Linked DNA regions of Saccharomyces cerevisiae S288C. The gene in region 2 interacts genetically with the main gene of each other region. Each region holds a gene or a part of one and is shown on either strand. Other genes may lie near its edges.

The links. Genes that interact genetically often act in the same process or in processes that back each other up.
Region 1: mutations in SAW1 (region 2) and YLR152C together harm fitness more than expected from each alone (negative genetic interaction), as found in Saccharomyces cerevisiae (2 studies listed by BioGRID).

The regions. Positions count from the first base shown.
Region 1 is NC_001144.5:440,033-446,577, reverse strand, and holds YLR152C (uncharacterized protein), read left to right. Parts: upstream 1-1,889; coding exon 1,890-3,620; downstream 3,621-6,545. Other genes in the region: acetate--CoA ligase ACS2, read left to right, coding at 1-1,054; PCD1 (8-oxo-dGTP diphosphatase), read left to right, coding at 3,841-4,863; STM1 (Stm1p), read right to left, coding at 5,290-6,111.
Region 2 is NC_001133.9:87,857-95,972, reverse strand, and holds SAW1 (DNA-binding protein SAW1), read right to left. Parts: upstream 1,287-8,116; coding exon 501-1,286; downstream 1-500. Other genes in the region: aminophospholipid-translocating P4-type ATPase DRS2, read left to right, coding at 1-343; FRT2 (Frt2p), read right to left, coding at 1,487-3,073; MYO4 (myosin 4), read left to right, coding at 3,703-8,116. UniProt on the Saccharomyces cerevisiae protein: Catalyzes 3'-non-homologous tail removal of RAD1/RAD10-dependent single-strand annealing recombination intermediates. Plays a key role in targeting RAD1/RAD10 complex to 3'-flap cleavage substrate in recombination.

The sequences.
Region 1 (6,545 bases), on a different chromosome or scaffold from region 2:
TCCATTAACCTTGGGTACCGCCTCAATAATTTTCGAATCCACTCCTGCCTACCCAGATTATGGTAGATATTGGAGAATTATCCAACGTCACAAGGCTACCCATTTCTATGTGGCTCCAACTGCTTTAAGATTAATCAAACGTGTAGGTGAAGCCGAAATTGCCAAATATGACACTTCCTCATTACGTGTCTTGGGTTCCGTCGGTGAACCAATCTCTCCAGACTTATGGGAATGGTATCATGAAAAAGTGGGTAACAAAAACTGTGTCATTTGTGACACTATGTGGCAAACAGAGTCTGGTTCTCATTTAATTGCTCCTTTGGCAGGTGCTGTCCCAACAAAACCTGGTTCTGCTACCGTGCCATTCTTTGGTATTAACGCTTGTATCATTGACCCTGTTACAGGTGTGGAATTAGAAGGTAATGATGTCGAAGGTGTCCTTGCCGTTAAATCACCATGGCCATCAATGGCTAGATCTGTTTGGAACCACCACGACCGTTACATGGATACTTACTTGAAACCTTATCCTGGTCACTATTTCACAGGTGATGGTGCTGGTAGAGATCATGATGGTTACTACTGGATCAGGGGTAGAGTTGACGACGTTGTAAATGTTTCCGGTCATAGATTATCCACATCAGAAATTGAAGCATCTATCTCAAATCACGAAAACGTCTCGGAAGCTGCTGTTGTCGGTATTCCAGATGAATTGACCGGTCAAACCGTCGTTGCATATGTTTCCCTAAAAGATGGTTATCTACAAAACAACGCTACTGAAGGTGATGCAGAACACATCACACCAGATAATTTACGTAGAGAATTGATCTTACAAGTTAGGGGTGAGATTGGTCCTTTCGCCTCACCAAAAACCATTATTCTAGTTAGAGATCTACCAAGAACAAGGTCAGGAAAGATTATGAGAAGAGTTCTAAGAAAGGTTGCTTCTAACGAAGCCGAACAGCTAGGTGACCTAACTACTTTGGCCAACCCAGAAGTTGTACCTGCCATCATTTCTGCTGTAGAGAACCAATTTTTCTCTCAAAAAAAGAAATAACTTAAATGAGAAAAATTTCGTAATGAGATAAAATTTCGCTCCTTTTCTGTTTTCTATTTTCTATTTTCCCAACTTTTGCTCTATTCAGTTATAAATTACTATTTATCCATCAGTTAAAAAACAAGATCTTTTACTGGTCAGCTAGGAAAGCGAAAATACAAAGACTTTATGCACTTAGTGATATATATGTATAGATATATCCATTTTTACGCACTTATCATATATCTTAGTTATCTAAATACAATCTAGTTATTCGTACACAATCGCCCCTGTTATCCCTATAGTGGGAATAAAGTAATGCACTGTGACGGGGTTCTTCGCCCGGGATAGGGTAAAAGGATATTGCCGTTTCAAGAAACTTCGGGGATAATCGAATAAGATACCGAGAAAGCTATTGTTCGTTGTGCACGTAGGATGTATATTGAACAAGCATGACCAGAATCTGATGCATTACGAGAAGGTTACGGGATGATATCAGACCTCCGAAGTCCATGTTGCAAAATGTGCCGACTTTCCGCGGCGCTATTTGGCACAAATTTCAGGAGAAACATCACTGTCGGTGTTATAGAATTCCATCTATATTGTTTTCCCCGTAGGCATACGTCGAGGAACTACTATATCTTTTTTCACCTTTTGTATATCTGTATTTTTGGGTCAATGTCTGGTACATAAGGTGAGTCATATTTACATCAAAGTGTGTAACGTATAAGAGGTAAAACAAGTTACAGTACTCATATAGTATTTCTTCTATCGGTAATTCTACATGTGTCTGATCAAGGTCTATCATTTTTATATGGTGGAAACGATTTTCTAGTACTACAATAAATGAACCAAGATGTCCCTTTCTCTGGGTGCCGCTATTTACATTGCATTAAAACCTATATTTAAAATTTACACCATTATGCTTGTTGGCTATTTGGTAGCTAAGTTCGATATTGTTTCCATGGAAAATGCGAAAGGTATATCAAATATGGTTGTTAACGCTATTTTGCCTTGTTTGACCTTCAACAAAATTGTGTCCAATATTTCATGGAGGGATATAAAGGAGATTGGAGTGATAATACTTTCAGCTTTTATCTTGTTTGTTTTAGGTGCCACGGGCGCCTTATTTACTACATTTGCTACGACTGTGCCCAAAAAATTCTTCTGGGGGCTCATATTTGCGGGTTTCTTTCCAAATATATCAGATTTACCTATTGCCTATATTCAGAGCATGGGTAACGGCTCCATTTTTACTGCTGAAGAAGCTGATAAAGGTGTTGCTTATTCCTGCATTTTTTTATTTATTCAAAGTTTCCTAATGATGAATTTTGGAATGTGGAGAGTGGTCGGACTTGATTTTAGAGATACAAAAGAACCAGATAGTGAGAATATTACTCCGTCAGTAAGTCCCGCTATCGACGATCGCAAACTTACTGAAATAACAAAGTTACCTAATATCACACGTCCTACAAATGCCTATCAATCGGAAGATGCGAGAAGTAATAGCGATTTGTCTTGTAACTCTATTACTACAAATGAAATGACACCGCAGGCATTCTACGAAGGTTTTACTGGCTACATCAAACCCTATAAAGAATCAAATGGTGCATCCCATAAATTTGAAAGTGACCTTCCGCATGCTGAAATATATAGGGTTTCCTCGACTTATTCAAGCCCAGGCGCATTGGAGTTCTCGCGAATAGATGGCAGTTCCCTCTCATATAGTCGTATATCAAAAAATAGCGATGGCAGAAGTTATAGAAGAAAAAGGAAAGCGGATATGAATGAGTTGATTTCCAAATACAGTGCCGCCGAAAAAATAAGGCAAGGTGAATTAGATTTATCAAGACCACTATCCTTGACTGAAGAAGTTGGAAGCAGGAACGCAAGTATTGGTAATGTGCACACTGGTTATACCGATGAAAGTTCCATCGAAGAAGAAAATTGCACTAATATGGCCACCGACGGGAGGGGTAGCCTCTCCTTCTTTATAGAGAGACACAATCTCAAATGGTTGCAGTACTTTATTATAAATTGCCTCAGGCCAGCATCTCTGGGGGCAATACTAGGAATAATATGTGCATTAATTCCCTGGGTTAAAGCATGCTTCGTAACGACATATGTTCACGTTCATAAGGCGCCTGATGGAGAACCTGTTCTGAATTTTTTAATGGATTTTACAGAGTATATTGGAAATGCATGTGTTCCATTGGGGCTTCTATTACTTGGCGGAACGTTGGCAAGATTAGAAATTAAGTCATTGCCACCTGGATTTATTAAATCCGCCTTATTGATGACATGCTTTCGATTAATTGTCATTCCTATTATTGGCGTCCTATGGGTAAATAAACTATATTCGATCGATTGGCTGGATACGGGCATAGGAAAATTTGACATGATATTAACGTGGTCCATGCCGAGTGCTACTGCTCAAGTATATTTCACAGCATTTTATACGCCAGCATGTGGTGATCACATTCAAATGAACTGTTTGTCCGTCTTATTTGTCATGCAGTATGCGATTCTTTTCATCACTGTGGCGTTTGTTGTTACATATACCTTAAAGGTCGATTTAAAAGTTTGATTATATCCCTAGGCGAATAGGTATATACAAGAGTAGCTTATTATCAACTTATATATTCTGTTTTTTCAAAAGTAGCGATGAATTCCAATCGCGTATTTATTCGTTGTATTTATTTTTTGGGGTAGGGTTGTGGGGGGGGATCCGCGTAAGTATATTTATAACAATTCAATAATAATATTGTAGATTTGAAGAGAATCACACATGTAACAGAAAAGCTGTAATGATATTAAGTCAGAGGAGGATGCTGAGTTCAAAGCAACTAATAGAGAACTTGATAAGATACAAATTTCATAAAACACCATATACTCGGAGCTCAATATGGCCTTTCAAAAGAAATTCGGCGGTAATAATACTATTATTCATTGGAATGAAAGGCGAACTACGAGTGCTTTTAACTAAACGTTCAAGAACATTGAGAAGCTTCTCAGGTGATGTTTCATTTCCTGGAGGTAAAGCTGATTATTTTCAAGAAACCTTTGAAAGCGTAGCCAGAAGAGAAGCTGAAGAGGAGATTGGGTTACCGCATGATCCTGAGGTCTTGCATAAGGAGTTCGGAATGAAATTAGACAATTTGGTCATGGATATGCCATGCTATTTATCAAGAACATTTTTAAGTGTTAAGCCAATGGTCTGTTTTCTTTACAAAGATAAATTAGAAAAACATGAGGATAAATACAAAGTTCCCTTAGATATCCGTAAGTTTTTTGGTAAGCTGAACCCTGGAGAAACATCTTCTTTGTTTTCTGTACCACTCAATGACTTAGTTATACATCTTCTTCCTGAAGCCGATGAGGATGTTAAGAGTTATCAAGCAGAATATTTTGAGCGGAAGGAGTATAAGCTTAATTGGGGTGGAATAAAATGGTTGATTATGCATTATCATTTTCACGTAGCAAATAATAACGAAATGCCATGGTTGCAAACCATAGAGGATTTATCAAGTTCAGACGAAGACGGTGTTGATGGAGGTATTTTCAGATTCAGGGATTTGTGGGGACTCACATGTAAAATATTATTCGACGTTTCATGTATAGCTAATGGACTAATGGACGAAAAGTTAAAAGGAGAACTAGGGCACGAAGATTTGATAGTTGGACTACATGACTATGGTAATCAGATGCAACCGAACGGAAGAAGTGAATGGGAGATAGGAATGATCAACGGCGACAGAAACTTAAAATATAGCGATGTGATACCTGAATACTACATGAAGCACCTGCTGGAGTGCCGCTCGCTTTGGTAAAAAAAACTGTGGTATAATGCGTTGCCTAACAATACTCTCAAGAGATAATCAAGATGAGAGAAAAAGAATCATACTGGATGTCCTTAATCGATAACAAAAAGTTTTTAATGAAGAATGACTAATGATGAAATTGTTATACAAATACAAACAAACTACACGCTTGCACATCTCAGAAGTGAAAAAAAAAAAAAGAAAATTGAAAAGTAAATTAAAAGTCATTTATTTTTTATTGCTTAAATAAAACAAAATGATATGTCATATTCTCGATTGGATGTCAACCCAATTTTATTCTTTGGTTTGCCAGCATGATCATCTTCACTTGCAAATTATATAGTAAATAACCAATTAAAATAATAATAGTAATAGAAACAGAAAGTAGAACACTGTTATTGGATTCTTTCAGTTGGAATTATTCATATATAAGGCTTAAGCCAAAGATGGCAAGTTAGAAACGTCAATGTTACGGTTCTTTTGAACGGTGTTAGCAGAGTTAGTAGCGTTAGCAGTGTTGTTACCCTTTCTAGCGCCTCTACCACCACGACGGTTGTTGAAGTTGTTTCTGCTGTTGTTGTTTCTGTCACCGAAGTTCTTTCTAGTGTTAGATTCAACAAAAGTGGCATCAAATTCCAAGTACTCCTTGGTCTTCAATTGCTTAGATTTGACGTTCTTGACCTTGGTTGCTGGAACGTAAGCTTCCTTTTCAGCAGTTTCAATTCTTTCAGCGTCTAATTCAACCTTCTTAGCTTCTGGGACCTTGTTGAACTGGTTGTTAGCTTGTTGGTTCAAGTAGTCTTGCAAAGACAATTGAGCGGTCTTTGGCTTACCAGCGTCTTCAGCTTCTGCAGCGTCTTCAGCAATTTCAGCAGCAGCATCGGCTTGAGCTTCCTTTTCAGCACTCAATTCCTTCTTGTCATCACCCCAACCTTGGTTAACCTTCTTCTTGGTGTCAGTCTTACCAGTTCTAGAGTGGCGGTCAGTGGCCCTTCTGGTGTTGGACTTCTTGGTGGTGGCAGAGTCAGTGACATCCTTTGATCTGTTGTTTCTTCTACCAGCGGTCTTGTCTCTGATAGCACCCTCGTTACCAGAAGGTCTTGGTCTGTTCTTTCTAGCCTTGGATGGGTCAGCGGATGGAGGTGGGACGTCAGCCTTCTTGGAGGAAGTGTTGCTCTTGACGATTTCCTTTGGTGGCAAAACGACAACGTCAGCGTCTTCGACGTCGTTACCTAACAAATCAAATGGGTTGGACATTGAGAATAAAATGTGTATGCTTTCTTGGTTTATTTCTACTTCACCTCTAAAAGAATACTGTGGGGGGAAGAGAAATTTGCAAAGAAATAACTTCTAATTTAAAACTACGAAGCAGAAAAAAAAATCTTCCACAATAAACCAAGTATACAACTAAAACAAGCGAAGGAAGGAAGAAGAACAAAGGGGATATCGACTCAAAATCAAATATTACAAGGAAAATACCATATAATTTCTCTACTCAGTTAGGGCTTCCTCTACGCAACGATGATATCAAAATTGAAAAAAAAATTTCTTTTTGCGTTGGTGCGAACTTTTGGGAACACTTTCCATTCCAATAATTTCACTTTCCTTTATCTTTCTAAACGGTGATGTTACCCGTCTAAATAACAACATGGTAGCGCCATATGTTATACGGCTACAACTTTGTGTCACGT
Region 2 (8,116 bases):
GAAATACAATATCAGCGACTCTAGGCCGCACGTTCAGCAATTTCAAAATGCCATCAGGAAGGTGAGGCAAGTGCAAAGAATGAAAAAACAAAGAGGATTTGCCTTTTCACAGGCTGAAGAGGGTGGGCAAGAAAAAATTGTCAGAATGTATGATACTACTCAAAAGAGAGGTAAGTACGGTGAATTACAAGATGCTTCGGCGAACCCCTTTAATGACAATAATGGACTGGGAAGTAACGACTTTGAAAGTGCAGAACCGTTCATTGAAAATCCATTTGCTGATGGTAATCAAAATTCAAATAGATTCAGTTCTTCGAGAGATGATATTTCATTTGATATATGAGGCACAGAAACAAAGAGCAGAAGACAAAAAATACAAAAATAAAAATAAGATAAAAAGAAAAGTCATTATTACCATTACTGAAATATGTACATTTACCATAAAATATATCCGTTATATAGAAGTTATAATATTAAGCCATCACTTTGTTATCGGTTTTTCATTCCTCCTGGGGTTGCTTCGACTGGGTACGTACCTTATGTCTTCTAGGCCTATGCAACACATGTACATCAATAATTTCACCTAAATTAATAACAGGCTTGTACATAAATTCTATTACAGGTTTTATATCCTCTTCCACCGGTGTATCCAGGGCATCAGCGTCCCCATTTTCTATTAACAAATTAGGTACCTGGGGCTGTTTTTCTATTTTCCTAGCTAATAACGTTTTGGGTCCTGCATTTAATGAGAAACCGTTTAATGTTAATGTTTGAAACATCAAATAGTGCCTTAAATTGGCGATCTTCTTAATGCTGTTGATGAATATGTCGAGCTCCCACTTATGTTTGTAGTGCAACTTGTATTTGAATTTAGCCAGCCTTGTCACAGACTGGATGTGAGAAGTTACCGCATTATCCGTATCGGCACCTGCAAAAAGTTTGGGCAGAACGTTGATTTGGAAATCAGTAGAATGACCAACTCTTATTTTGCTGAGTACGGAACTGATGATTTCCGGGGACGCTAGTTCGTAAACAATCAATAACAGGTCCTCCTTGATCTCGTCACAAAGATTCTTCTTATCTTGTTGCGATAAATATATTCTTGTATTTGGTGATTTTAAGCAGATTATGGAGTTATTTGATAATAATGGTGCTTCAAATATAGTGGCATTCGACTTATTGCTAGTCTTATCATTGGTTTGAAGGATCTGCTTTCTATTGACAAATATACGTAATGGCAAAACCATGTCCCTGGCTATCTTTACCGTTGCTATACTTGGTGCCATTTTTCACGGTTACTGTGAAGTCCAATATACTCAATCTTCTTGTATTCTTCCCTTTCAGGCCTGTCCTTTTCTATTTCATTGCCCTTTTTTCCACTCATCTTTCCACTTGATTAAAAATACCAGAAGAAGCACATTTTTACATTTATACGTTACATATGAAAAAATCACAGGATCATTTTTTGATATACAAATACTATTTTTTATTTATGCGATACTAGATGCTTGAAGGTATAGCATATGACGATGATGATAATTAAAAAGACAATATCAAGGGCCTCGTTGCGGTATTTAGATGCGAATGTTACATTTTTTTTGGATATCATTAAGGAATTCTCCAAAGACAATAAACTTTCCATTTTCCTCATTACTTCCTTCCTAGAGGCCAACCTGTCTTTGCAAGAAGCCATTCTTTTCTCTAAATCTTGTAATTTTGCCACGTTTGTATTTATTGTATCACTCAAACGTGCCTCAAATGATTCGGGGTTTTCCTTGTCAAAATCCTGTTTCAAATTCATTAAATAATCCTCTTCAACAAGCTCTTTCCATCCAATGGTCCTGGATCTTAAGTCCCTTAGCTCTTTAACGATCTTGTCAAAATTTGCAATGTTTTTAACAAGGTCATTTTCATCTTTCAGAACCTCATCTTTCAAACTGTGCTTTAGTAAAGCTTCTGTCTGCTGTAACTGCAATCCGATATGACGCTGATAGTAGTCTAATTCATCTGAATTTAGCGAAAGATTCGAACTACTATATGTGATATTTCCAGGAGGTTCAAGAGGATCAACAGCCACTGACTGTGAGAATGACGTCGATGATGAAGACGATGAAGAAGAAGACAACGAAGATGAGGACGACTGCGAAAACGATGCATTGCAGGCGTCTTTTGGCGAAAGCCCAATGGGATTAGCAACGGCAGGAGAGGATTCGGAAGCTACAGAGGGCGGTCTTGAGGGCGAAACATGTTTCTTTGGTGAGCTTTCAAGATCATGGTAAAGCAAGCTCTGTAACGATATATCTGTCTGCGTGCTAGAACTCCCGTCTGATGAATGCGAATGATGTGTGGGTCGCTTGGAAGGCTTAGATATAACATTGGGCAATATTGGATCGAAAGCCGGCGCCAGTGCAGACGAATCCTTAGATTGCCCAGACGAAGAAGGCTCCATGGATTTCAAAAACCGGTGAACCAACCTTTTCTTGTCCTTCACGAAGGACCGGGAAGGTGATTTAAGACCGTACTTGTCGTTGTCTTTGTAATGGCGATGGGCTGGGTGCTGCTGGGCTTGCAACATCTTAAATGAGGGAAAATGGTCTTTGGCAGAGTATCCACCATCGAGAGGCTTTGATTCTACACTATGCTGCGGGAATGGTCCTTTAAAGGTGGCGACTACGTTAAATGGGTGTTTTGGCGAGAGTCCAGAAGACTTCATCGTACTGAGACTTCGTACTTTATCTGGTGCTGCGTTGAACATACAATCGCTGAACATTGCGGTCGAGGCAGACGTGTAATCCGGAATAACTTGACGATGCAGTTTATGACGAGCATGATGGTGCTCCATTTCATATTTCTGCTCTTTTTCGTGTAATGCAGCCAAATTACTGTGAGAGGCTTGCCATCCAACGTTTGGCTTAGTTTCAACAGTAGATTTGTGGCCAACATCTGGTGTTCCAGCGTCAATCATTTGCTTTACATCTTCCAGGGGTCTCTTTTCTACACCATCTTTGCTATTGCGATCTGTACCATCTATTCCGCTGCCTTTAGAAGAGCTCTTTATTTGAGCATTTTGCATTGTACCTGGACAACTACTGGACTACGTAAAAAACTGCCATCAATTTGTGTTATTCTTACTCTTTGAGACAATGTTTCATAACAATAGAACAATAGCTTTTTGACCTTCCCCTTATTTTATTTCAAAAGGTAACAGTTAGGGCTATTCTTAAACTTTCTTTAGGGTACACAATGAAAACATCAAGATTGAGTTAAAACCCTTAAAATAAAACTAGGTCTTTAAGAAACTCACTCTCCGGGTTATCCATAGAATGTTTACCATTCTTTAGGGTTCTGAACTAATGCGAAAAAAAAAAAAGAAAAGACTGAAAAATTCGAAAATATCTCGAAGTTTAGCAGTAGTAGATGAGAATAGGGTCTCTTTTATCGAAAACCTGCAATTGTAATACAACCTTTTTTTGAAAGTCAGCCTTTATTCTGATTCTGCATACTCAATTCCTCAATTCCTACGGAGTTATCACCTTTTTTTTTACCTTCTCTTCTTTTCTTATTGTTCTAGCTGAAAACATTGTTACCAGTTTGGCGAGACAATTTATTTTCAATACGATACCCTTTTGTTCTTCTTTTTATAATTCAATCTAATTCTAAAACACAAAAAAACAAAAAAAATCCTATAACCAGTTCTCCCGCATGTCATTTGAAGTAGGAACTAAGTGTTGGTACCCTCACAAAGAACAAGGCTGGATAGGCGGCGAAGTCACCAAGAATGACTTCTTTGAAGGAACGTTCCACTTAGAGTTGAAATTGGAGGATGGAGAAACTGTATCCATTGAAACAAATAGCTTCGAAAATGATGATGATCATCCCACGCTACCTGTACTACGAAACCCACCTATTTTAGAGTCTACTGATGACTTAACCACCCTATCATATCTGAACGAACCGGCAGTGCTGCATGCCATAAAAAAAAGATACATGAATGGACAGATATATACTTACTCTGGTATTGTCCTTATTGCCGCTAATCCCTTTGATAAAGTCGACCATTTGTACTCTCGCGAGATGATACAGAATTATTCTAGTAAGCGTAAAGATGAGCTGGAGCCGCACCTTTTTGCCATAGCAGAGGAGGCGTACAGGTTCATGGTCCATGAAAAGGCTAACCAGACTGTTGTAGTCAGTGGTGAATCCGGTGCTGGTAAGACCGTCTCTGCTAAATACATTATGAGATACTTTGCCTCAGTCCAAGAAAGCAACAATCGTGAAGGGGAAGTGGAAATGTCTCAAATCGAGAGCCAAATTTTAGCTACTAACCCGATCATGGAAGCCTTTGGTAACGCCAAAACTACCAGAAATGATAATTCCTCTCGTTTCGGCAAATATCTGCAAATTTTATTTGATGAGAATACTACCATCAGGGGGTCCAAAATTAGAACCTATCTCTTGGAAAAATCCAGGTTAGTTTATCAGCCAGAGACAGAAAGAAATTACCATATTTTTTACCAAATTTTGGAAGGATTGCCAGAACCGGTAAAACAAGAACTGCATTTGTCATCTCCCAAGGACTACCATTATACTAACCAAGGTGGACAGCCGAACATAGCTGGTATAGATGAAGCTCGAGAATACAAGATAACCACTGATGCCCTGTCATTAGTAGGTATAAACCACGAGACTCAGCTTGGAATTTTCAAAATTCTTGCAGGCTTGCTACATATAGGTAATATCGAGATGAAAATGACTAGAAACGACGCATCACTATCATCGGAAGAGCAAAACCTGCAAATCGCATGTGAATTATTGGGTATTGATCCCTTCAATTTTGCAAAATGGATTGTCAAGAAACAAATCGTCACAAGGTCTGAAAAAATTGTCACTAATTTGAATTACAATCAAGCGCTAATTGCTAGGGACTCTGTGGCGAAATTTATTTATTCCACGCTTTTTGATTGGCTAGTAGACAACATTAACAAGACATTATACGATCCTGAGCTGGATCAACAAGATCATGTCTTTTCCTTTATTGGTATTTTAGATATCTACGGGTTTGAGCATTTTGAGAAAAACTCATTCGAACAATTCTGTATAAACTATGCGAATGAAAAATTACAACAAGAGTTCAACCAGCACGTTTTCAAATTGGAGCAAGAAGAATATGTAAAGGAGGAAATTGAGTGGTCTTTCATTGAGTTCAGCGACAACCAACCTTGCATAGACTTGATTGAGAATAAACTTGGAATACTTTCTCTATTAGATGAAGAAAGTAGATTACCATCAGGCTCAGATGAATCATGGGCCTCAAAACTATATTCTGCCTTTAATAAACCGCCCTCAAATGAAGTTTTTTCGAAGCCAAGATTCGGACAAACGAAGTTTATAGTAAGCCATTATGCTGTTGATGTAGAATATGAAGTTGAAGGGTTTATTGAAAAGAATAGAGACAGCGTTTCCCTAGGTCATCTGGATGTTTTCAAAGCAACGACAAATCCAATTTTCAAACAAATTTTAGACAACAGAGAACTTAGGAGTGACGATGCTCCTGAAGAGCAAAATACTGAAAAAAAGATAATGATCCCAGCAAGATTAAGTCAAAAGAAACCAACCCTGGGATCTATGTTCAAAAAATCGCTCGGGGAATTGATGGCCATCATAAATTCTACTAATGTTCATTATATTCGTTGCATAAAACCAAATTCTGAAAAAAAGCCATGGGAGTTCGATAATTTGATGGTCTTATCGCAATTAAGAGCTTGTGGTGTGCTGGAAACAATCAGGATTTCATGTGCAGGCTTTCCATCAAGATGGACTTTTGACGAATTCGTTCAAAGATATTTCCTCCTGACGGACTACAGCTTATGGAGTGGAATTCTTTATAATCCAGACCTCCCAAAAGAGGCAATCGTCAACTTCTGTCAATCTATTCTAGATGCTACTATCTCTGATTCAGCAAAATACCAAATTGGTAATACCAAAATTTTCTTTAAAGCAGGAATGCTTGCATTTTTGGAAAAGCTAAGGACTAATAAAATGAATGAAATATGCATCATAATACAGAAAAAGATAAGGGCAAGATACTATAGGCTTCAGTATTTGCAGACCATGGAATCAATAAAGAAGTGCCAAAGCCAAATTAGAAGTTTGTTGGTTCGTACAAGGGTCGATCATGAGCTCAAGACAAGAGCTGCCATATTACTACAAACGAACATTAGAGCATTATGGAAACGGGAATACTATAGAGCTGCCATTGGGCAAATAATAAAACTACAATGTACCTGTAAAAGAAAATTGATTTTAGATAGTGTTAACAGGAAATTCATGCTCATGGCGGCAGTAATTATCCAAAGCTACATCAGATCATATGGTCACAAAACAGATTACAGAACATTGAAAAGGAGCTCCATTCTTGTACAAAGCGCCATGAGAATGCAGTTAGCTAGACGAAGGTATATAGTTCTGCAAAAAGAAGTTGAAGAACGGAATATTAGGGCTAGTTACGGGATTGGATTACTGGAGGAAGCTATCGAATTTAAGAACTCTTTCATTTTGAATCTAGAGATGTTAAATGACTCATATACAAGATTAACACAGTTGTTGCAGGGAGATTTGTCAAATATTCCATCTAAGCAAAGGCAAGAGTACGAAACGATAGTAAATGGTTATAATGATAAGATTTCCAAGCTGAAGACGTTACAAGTTGAAATCATGAATACTTTAAACAAGAAGAATGCCTTGAAGGAGAGAAAAAAGAAGCAATCTTCTTTAATACAGTCACATATGCAAAGTTTGGCTGCTATAAAAGGTAACAAACCTTCAAGATTAAGTGATGAAGTCAAATCAATGAAGCAAGAACTAGCGTTTATTGAAAACGTAATAGCACAAGATTTCACCACCACATATTCTGCTAATAAGAATGATAAAGTGAAAGGTTTGGGAATCGCAGGACAACAAGTAAAACCGAAGCTAGTCAATGTAATTCGTAGAGAATCAGGAAATCCTGATCTTCTAGAATTACTAATGGACCTGAATTGTTACACATTAGAAGTCACAGAAGGTTACTTGAAAAAAGTAAATGTTACTGAGGTGAATGGAGACAATGTTCTGGGTCCTATACACGTCATTACTACAGTGGTAAGTAGCTTAGTGAGAAATGGGTTATTGATTCAAAGTAGCAAATTCATCTCGAAAGTCCTATTGACTGTAGAAAGCATTGTTATGAGTCTACCAAAGGACGAAACAATGCTTGGTGGTATCTTTTGGTTAAGTAATCTTTCCAGACTTCCCGCATTTGCTGCAAATCAAAAAACATTATATGAAGCGAATGGTGGTGATGAAAAAGATAAGTTAACACTGATATATTTGAATGATTTGGAGAATGAAACTTTAAAAGTATTCGACAAGATTTATTCCACTTGGTTAGTGAAATTCATGAAGCATGCTTCAGCCCACATCGAGATCTTCGATATGGTTTTAAACGAGAAGCTATTTAAAAATTCTGGTGATGAGAAGTTCGCTAAATTATTCACATTCTTAAATGAATTTGATGCTGTCTTGTGTAAATTTCAAGTTGTTGACTCAATGCATACAAAAATTTTTAACGACACCCTGAAGTATCTGAACGTAATGCTATTTAATGACCTAATAACCAAATGTCCCGCGTTAAATTGGAAGTATGGGTACGAAGTGGATAGAAATATCGAGCGGTTGGTGAGCTGGTTTGAACCAAGAATTGAAGACGTTCGTCCCAATTTGATTCAAATAATTCAGGCTGTCAAGATATTACAGTTGAAGATAAGCAACTTGAACGAGTTCAAGTTACTATTCGATTTCTGGTATGCCTTGAATCCAGCCCAAATACAAGCAATTCTGTTGAAATACAAGCCTGCTAACAAGGGCGAAGCTGGAGTACCGAACGAAATCTTGAATTATTTAGCTAACGTGATCAAAAGAGAAAATCTGTCTTTGCCAGGGAAGATGGAAATTATGCTTTCTGCCCAATTTGACTCTGCTAAAAACCATCTGCGTTATGACACTAGTGCAATAACACAGAACAGCAATACAGAGGGCTTAGCTACTGTCAGTAAAATTATAAAATTAGACAGAAAAT